2 linked regions of the Mus musculus genome follow. Each later gene encodes a partner of the first gene's protein in a complex. Links are inferred from orthologs where the notes say so. Each region holds a gene or a part of one and is shown on either strand. Other genes may lie near its edges.

Region 1 (3,745 bases):
ACAATTTTCCTGTCTCTCCTCACATCACTCACCCTTCACCCGGGCACCTTTTCTTTCTTCGGTCATTTTAGATATGGGCAGGGATGCGCAAAGGGCATGAAGAGACACACACTCTAAGAGACTCACGCCCCTGCACACTGACATTTAGAAAAGGGTCTAAATTCTCCTGTCATTTGCAAAGGACAGGGGGAAAGGAGTTGTGGCAAGACCTAACCAGAGGAGATTTGTGTGACTTTTCCAGCAAGTTGGACGGGTAATATATTAGCCTTAGTAACATTAATATCTGTTTTGAACATACATAATTTAAAAAAATAAATAAAGGAACGTGGGAGAGTCACTTAAAAATTCTGTCGCGGAGCTTTGCAGGTTCTGCGACCCAGTCGCCCCCCAAAGGCAACCAATTCCTTCGCGTTCCGCTCTGTTCACCCTCCTTTCCAGCTTTTCTCGAATCTTTTTTTTTTCCTTGCCCCCCTTTCCCACGCTCATCTGGAACCGGGGCTCCGGAGGCAGCAGTAAGCCACCGGTCCCCTTCCTCCTCTCTTCCATCAAACAGCCGCGGCCGAGTGCCTTGAAGCTTCCCTTTGTTCATCCAAGGCTCGCTCATCCCCGGGGTAGAACCACCTGGATGCTCTCGCTTGGTGACATTTGGCGTCGAGGCTGGTGGGTGGCTAGGGTGGAGCGAGAGGAGCCCGAGGGGGCGGGGGCGGAGAAAGGTCAAGGCGAGGGAAAGGCAGGAGACGCCTTTGCCTAACCTGCGTGGCGGGGCTTGCGTGCGGCTCTCGCTCTCTTCCCAGCTTATTTATCGATCGCACCGGCAGAGCTGCGCGCGGTGCTCGGGGGAGATGCGGGACCACCCACTGGCGGGGAAGCAGCGAGCGGCCCTCTCGCGCCCCCGCGCCGCCGAGCGCCTCCTGCCTCCGCGCCCGGACGCCAGCCCGCTCCCGCCTCGGTCCCGGCCCCACGCCGCCACCGCCCGCCCCGCAGCCCCGCAACCCCGCAGTCCCGGCGCCCCGCAGCCCCGCAGCGCCCCGACCCCGGGGACGCCGGCCGCGCAGTAAGTTGGCAGGAGCGAGTGGCCTGGGCGGCTCGCCTCCCCCGCACCTTTTTGAACTTGTTGCTGTTGGCTCTGCTCGCCTGCGCCTGGCTTTTGGGAAGGTGACAAGGAGGAGGGAGGCACGGAGGGTGGGGGAAGGGGACGGAGAGCTCGCCAGAGCTTTATTTATGCTCCCCGGGAGCCTGGGATCTGGCTGCTCGGGAGCCGCTGGCTCTGCCTTTCCCTTTCCGGGTACAAGGCGACAGCAAAGTCTCTATGCAACTCAGCCCCGGTGCGCACTTTGCCAGGTATGTACCGCGGGCGAGGCGCGTTCTGCGCGGAGGCAGATGCTGCTGCCGCCACGGCGGCGGCGGCTGCCAGCTCCCAGGCTCTATAACTGTCACACTGCACCTGAGCTGAACTTGAACAGAGAGTGAAAGGGCCCATCGGGCAAACGCTCTCGGCTAGCGCAGAGGGTGTCAGTCGTCGTTGTGGGGGGGAGAAAGAGCTCTAGACCGACGCCCCCCGCCGCGAGCCCTGCACTTCACCTCCATCTCTGCAAGCGCAGCGTGAGTACAGGCGGCCAGCGGACTCCAAGGGACGCGGGACAGCGGCTGTGACCGCATCTCCGGAGCTACAACAACAGGTCGTCTTTTTGAGACGCCTTTGGCGGGAAGGACCACTTCAGCAAAAGGGGAAGGTGAAAGGGTTCTTTCTTTTAAGAGACTACCACTGACTGGTTGACTTTCCCTGTTTCCTCTCTCCTGCTCTATATACCGACCCCATATCTACCAGACTGTATCAGGGGAGAAGCGAAGACACCTGTTTGAAGCCAGGCTGTCTCCGAAGTCACCTGTACGTTTACATGTGCCAGGACCTGCCCTGGTCCAACTGTTGGCAGAGATTTGTTTAGGCTTTATGGAGAGAGATTTTTAGGTCACTGTATTTTTTTTTTCTTAGTATTCCAAATACTTCTGTGAGGGAAACCTGACCTTCTTGAGTACTGTGACTTGACCTGCGCCACCTTGGAATAATCGTGTTCCTGTGAGCAGTGTCCCCCCAGTGTTTTGCCTGAGGTGAAGAAGTGGGGGGCACTTTCTTACTTTCATTGTGTTATTTTGGGTGACCCCCCTGCTCACTCTCGTGACCTCCACTTCCAGACAACATGGCAGCCGGTGTTGCAGCATGGCTGCCCTTTGCCAGGGCAGCCGCCATTGGGTGGATGCCTGTTGCTTCGGGGCCTATGCCTGCGCCCCCAAGACAGGAGAGAAAAAGGACTCAGGACGCTCTGATAGTGCTGAACGTGAGTGGCACCCGTTTCCAGACATGGCAAGACACCCTGGAACGATACCCAGACACTCTGCTGGGTAGTTCTGAGAGAGACTTTTTCTACCACCCAGAGACCCAACAATACTTCTTTGACCGTGACCCGGACATCTTCCGCCACATCCTCAACTTCTACCGCACGGGGAAGCTTCACTATCCCCGCCATGAGTGCATCTCGGCTTATGATGAAGAACTGGCCTTCTTTGGCCTCATCCCAGAAATTATTGGCGACTGCTGTTATGAGGAGTACAAGGACCGCAGGCGGGAGAATGCTGAGCGCCTCCAGGATGATGCAGACACTGACAATACAGGAGAGAGTGCGCTGCCCACCATGACTGCTAGGCAGAGGGTCTGGCGGGCCTTTGAGAATCCCCACACCAGCACCATGGCCCTGGTGTTCTACTATGTGACTGGGTTCTTCATTGCCGTCTCAGTCATCGCGAATGTGGTGGAAACAGTTCCATGTGGGTCTAGCCCAGGCCACATAAAAGAACTGCCTTGTGGGGAGAGGTATGCGGTGGCCTTCTTCTGCTTGGATACCGCCTGTGTCATGATCTTCACAGTTGAGTACTTGCTTCGCCTGGCCGCAGCACCTAGTCGTTACCGTTTCGTGCGCAGTGTCATGAGTATCATCGACGTGGTGGCCATCCTACCCTATTACATTGGGCTGGTGATGACAGACAATGAGGATGTCAGTGGAGCCTTTGTCACACTCCGAGTCTTTCGAGTCTTCAGGATCTTTAAGTTTTCCCGCCACTCTCAAGGGCTGCGTATACTGGGGTACACCCTGAAGAGCTGTGCATCAGAACTGGGCTTCTTGCTCTTTTCTCTCACAATGGCTATCATCATTTTCGCTACCGTTATGTTCTACGCAGAGAAGGGCTCTTCAGCAAGCAAGTTCACCAGCATCCCGGCAGCCTTCTGGTACACCATCGTCACCATGACAACACTGGGGTAGGTGCCTTTGTAGAAAACGGGATGGTGATTGGACATGGGTTGTGTTGATTATGAATCTCTTAAGGCTTCCTGATGCTTTAGAGTGACTACATTTTTTTTCCTCTGAATGGATTTAAGAAAGCACTATTTTAAAAGTTTGGAAACAAACAAATAATTTTGATCTGTGAAATGGGTATGACAAAAACGATTGAAATTACTTGGGAGTTATAGGCAAATATTAATTACTGATACCATAAAATGACAAATATAGACTTAATAGACTAATTAATAGATGTGGATGGTATGTCTTTCAACCTAAGAGCCTTGTCTAATTTTATATCATTATATAAATTATAGATTTTCATTATGAGTAATGGGTTATACTTAGAATATCAGATTGGAAACAGGTCAACTATACAAAATATAATGTTTGGAAGTCCAGGCTTGTCT
Region 2 (3,745 bases), on another chromosome or scaffold:
TGGATGTGGATGACAATTGAGACTTATAGAGAGTGGTATTTGCTCAAGGCCCACGACTGAAGTGATCGGGATGAGATTCCCCCTGCACTCTGCTGGGTTATAGAGACACAGACCTCTCCTCTGGGTGCCTCGCTACCTCTCAAGGAGATACGGACATTGTAGGTAATTTTAAATAAACCCAAGTTAACTGTGCCGGACAGTGCCCTCCACTGCCTGTGGGACCTCATGTTGTTAAGAAAGATGAGTAGGGAGCTGACTTGGACTTGGTGTTGAAGCAAGAACCAACTTGCTTGGTGTTAAGCAGCACCTCAGGATCCAAGAGAGGCAGAGCTCAGAGTACCAAAACCCAGGGAAAAAGGTTTGCAGACCTGCCTTTCTCTGGGGCTACTGAGAGGTACCAATGCCTTCCGTGCAGGGCAAAGAACCTAACAGATAAGCTAAAGCCCCTTCCGTTTCCGGTCTGTCACGCAAGCCTGGTCTTATCACCTGGGATCTGCACCTGAAGATGTCTTCCTATTTGTCAGTTTGTCTCTGAGGACTGACCCTCTCTTCCTGGGTATCTCTGTGTATGATCCCAACCAAGATGAGATGAAACAGGTCCCACTATCACCCTAACACAGCTCTGGTCACTAGCCAGGATAAGGTGTGTGTTGTGCCCCCACCTGTAGTCAGAATATATTAAACATCAGAACTTGGATATTTAAGTGTGAAACTATTTAGAACCCTTCTGCTATCTTCAATGGCTTTTGAGCATTAAGCAAACCAAGCCTGTCATTATCTTTTTTTTTTTTTTCTGATTTGTTTCCAGTCTTCTTGTTTCTATAAGCAACTTTCTGCCTGTTGAAAAGGGGGCCTGCATTGTGTGCTTTTGGCCCAACAAGGTCACTTGACTCCACGTGGCCATCTAATAACTGTCCCACTGAAGATGGGCATGCCACAGCTGGAGAAAGGCAGGCTCCTGACAGGGACATCTCAGGATATGTGAGCTTGTCGCCCCAGCCCCCCTTTTGACAGTTCTCCCCATTCCTCTGAAGTCCTCAGACCACCATAGCAGCACAGCCCTGCTATTTGTTTTTTCCTACAGACTGCTTGTGTCCCAGGACCCGCCTGGGGGCTCTACCACCTGGACGTAGCTGATTCCTTTTGGCTTGCAGAGGTTTTAAGGATGGACCGGTAAATCACCGTTTTCCTCATGATTAGATTCCCAAGTCAGCACCTGGCAAGGCATGGCCATTCCCAAGGAGGCACCCTTGCTGGATGTTCGAGGTTGCACCAACATCAGCCCTCATGGGAGTGGGAAGAGCCTCCCAACATTTCCGCCCACCCCAGAGAACGCAGTTTTCTCCACCTGTGAATCTGCCTGTCTTGCTCCAATACATTCCCTAGAAGAGAAGGGTACCCACACCCCTGCTGGGGCCAGCGTCCACTTCGGCTGCTACCCCTGGGTGTTCACACCAACCCTCCCACGAGGCTCTTAATTCCTTGGATTCATGAGGTTGTCCAAAACCCTCACGGACAGTGGGTTTGGAACTAAGAGAGACAGACGTTTCATCCCAACACAACACCCAGTGCCCCCAAACCTATCCAGGGGAGTAAATAGAGGACAGAGTGCTTACCTTTAGAGGGTCGCCTTTGTTTGGTCTGCAGGGAGGAGAAAGTGCCCATGACGGCCCCCATGGCAGCGAAGACTTGTGTGCGTCTTGGGACCCCAGGCCCTGTCTCTTCCCTCCCCTGAAAAGAAATCGGTGTGGATTGCCCACTTTGAATTGGAGGAGAGGAAAAGCGAGAAAGCAAAAAAGCCCCGAGCAGCTCGCCTGCAGCTTGGTATTCAGAAAACGTGGGGCCGGGGCGCCTGGAGCTCGTGGCTGCTGCCTTCTTCAGCCAGGCACATGCACTGACTCCCAGGGCCAGAGGCTCGCGGGAGCCTTCACAGGCGCCCCCCGGTGCGGGCACCCAGCCGGGCCACTGGCTTCTCCGAGGCCCGAGCCCCGAGCCCCAAAGCCTGCCTGATGTTGGACACGGGGCCGGCGTGCCCGCACGGCCGAGGCTGCCGAGCCCGCGCCGCGTGCGGTGCGGGAGCTGCGCTCCGCCCGCCCGCCCCTGCTGCCACCCGGCCGCTCCGCCCCGCGCTCGGGCTGGATCTCAGGGGGCCGAGTACCAATCATGAATGAACAGCGCCAGGGACTGGTGCGGAGTAGAGCGGGGCTCAGAACCAGGCGCGGGGGATGGTGGGGGAGGCGGCGGAGGCCGCCTGGGGACCGCAGAGGGGCGGGGTGGGGACCTGGCCCTGCTGTCTACAAGGCTCTACTCCTGGCTGTGCGGGACACCGGGGATGTCCTTCTGGGCAGACAGATGTGATCAGGCACCTGGCTGGTGGGTGCAGCTTGGGTAGGAGGCAGCAGGTGACCCCCAGGATGAATATAAATATGTGAGTGTGAGTGAGTGAGTGAGTGTGTGTGTGTGTGTGTGTGTGTGTGTGAGAGAGAGAGAGAGAGAGAGAGAGAGAGAGAGAGAGAGACAGAGACAGAGACAGAGACAGAGACAGAGAGACAGACAGAGAGACAGACAGAGAGACAGAGAGAGAGAAAGGGAGGGCATTAAGATTTCATTTGACTTTAGAGAAAATCATTTAACCACTGCCTACCTTTCTGGTGTGGAGTAAAGTCTGCCCCACCTAAAGAGAGTTGTCATCAAGAAGAAGGGCTCCTTTGAACTCTGTAGGAGGTGTTGGGGACCTGCAGAATCCCCTAGGACCAGAGCTCATTTCTAGTGACAGGAAGTGGGGGAAGTGGGACGAGAAGTAGCTGTGGGTCCCCTTAGGCTCTTGCTACCTGACCCCCTCTTTGTGTTCTCTCTCTCTCTCTCTCTCTCTCTCTCTCTCTCTCTCTCTCTCTCTCTCTCTCTCTCTGTGTGTGTGTGTGTGTGTGTGTGTGTGTGTGTTTGCTCTGTCACCTGCAAATCAGACACCTGTGGGGACAGTACTTGAGTTAGGAACCCAGGGGGTAACTCTTGAATTTAGAAAGCAATCTTCCTTCCATGACCTTCCCTTCAGGTGGCAAGAACCCTCAAGCCCCACTTCAGCTTTCCACTGAAAAGGCAATGATGGAGGACCTGTGGCAACTCCTGGTGGCAACTGATGACAGGTGTCTCCCTAGAAAGCTTTGAATTTCCTCTTCCCCAGCCTAGCTGCCTGTCTGCCCTGTCTGCCTGGACATTCACTGAGGATTCCCTCTGTGTTTGCACTGAGAATCCCCAACCCCCTCTCTTTCCAGACCCCTGTCCAGTCATTTCCTCTGCAGCACACAGACACATGCTGTGTTGGGAGCTCACAGCATCCCTTAACATATGGCGTCATAAACACGCACACATATATGCAACCATGAACATATGGGCACAGGTCCCTCATGCCCACACAGATATTGAGATGCTGCACACAGACTCCAAACCCATAATACACATGAGGTGGGTGGGGTGTGCACCTGTAAGACCCCAGCTAAGACCCTCACATGTGCTCTCAGAGCAGAGTCATCAGCTCCTTCACAATACATAAGCTTGCACATACAGGAGTGTGGTCTGACTCCAGGCACCGAGCCCATTAGCTGCCCCCACAGCTGGCCAGCGCCTTGGCTCAGGGACTCAGAATAGCGTGCTTCACCTCAGCAACACTTACCCCTTGCTCAGATCCCAACATGAGTCCTGTTTTGTGCAGCGGGGGTTGGGGGGAATAATGCACTCAGTATTACAT

Evidence for each region. The genes of interacting proteins can lie anywhere in the genome.
Region 2: the proteins of Kcnd2 (region 1) and Kcnip1 are in contact, whole or in part, in a cryo-EM structure (PDB 7E8E), measured with the Homo sapiens proteins. The link is inferred for Mus musculus from reciprocal best matches to the Homo sapiens genes KCND2 and KCNIP1. Residues at the interface, in NP_036413.1 of Homo sapiens: Ala2, Val5, Ala7, Trp8, Pro10, Phe11, Ala12, Arg13, Ala14, Ala15, Ala16, Ile17, Gly18, Trp19, Met20, Pro21, Val22, Ala23, Ser24, Gly25, Met27, Ala29, Pro30, Gln33, Arg35, Lys36, Arg37, Thr38, Gln39, Asp40; in NP_001030009.1 of Homo sapiens: Thr60, Arg62, Glu63, Val66, Leu67, Arg69, Gly70, Phe71, Asn73, Glu74, Phe85, Ile88, Tyr89, Gln91, Phe92, Tyr101, Leu105, Phe109, Phe122, Leu126, Leu129, Leu130, Lys137, Thr141, Leu144, Tyr145, Val162, Ile165, His185, Phe189.

The regions. Positions count from the first base shown.
Region 1 is NC_000072.6:21,214,101-21,217,845, forward strand, and holds the start of Kcnd2 (potassium voltage-gated channel subfamily D member 2 precursor), read left to right. Parts: upstream 1-1,245; 5' UTR 1,246-2,198; coding exon 2,199-3,313; intron 3,314-3,745. UniProt on the Homo sapiens protein: Voltage-gated potassium channel that mediates transmembrane potassium transport in excitable membranes, primarily in the brain. Mediates the major part of the dendritic A-type current I(SA) in brain neurons.
Region 2 is NC_000077.6:33,841,514-33,845,258, forward strand, and holds the start of Kcnip1 (Kv channel-interacting protein 1), read right to left. Parts: upstream 2,174-3,745; 5' UTR 1,678-2,173; coding exon 1,617-1,677; intron 1-1,616. UniProt on the Homo sapiens protein: Regulatory subunit of Kv4/D (Shal)-type voltage-gated rapidly inactivating A-type potassium channels. Regulates channel density, inactivation kinetics and rate of recovery from inactivation in a calcium-dependent and isoform-specific manner.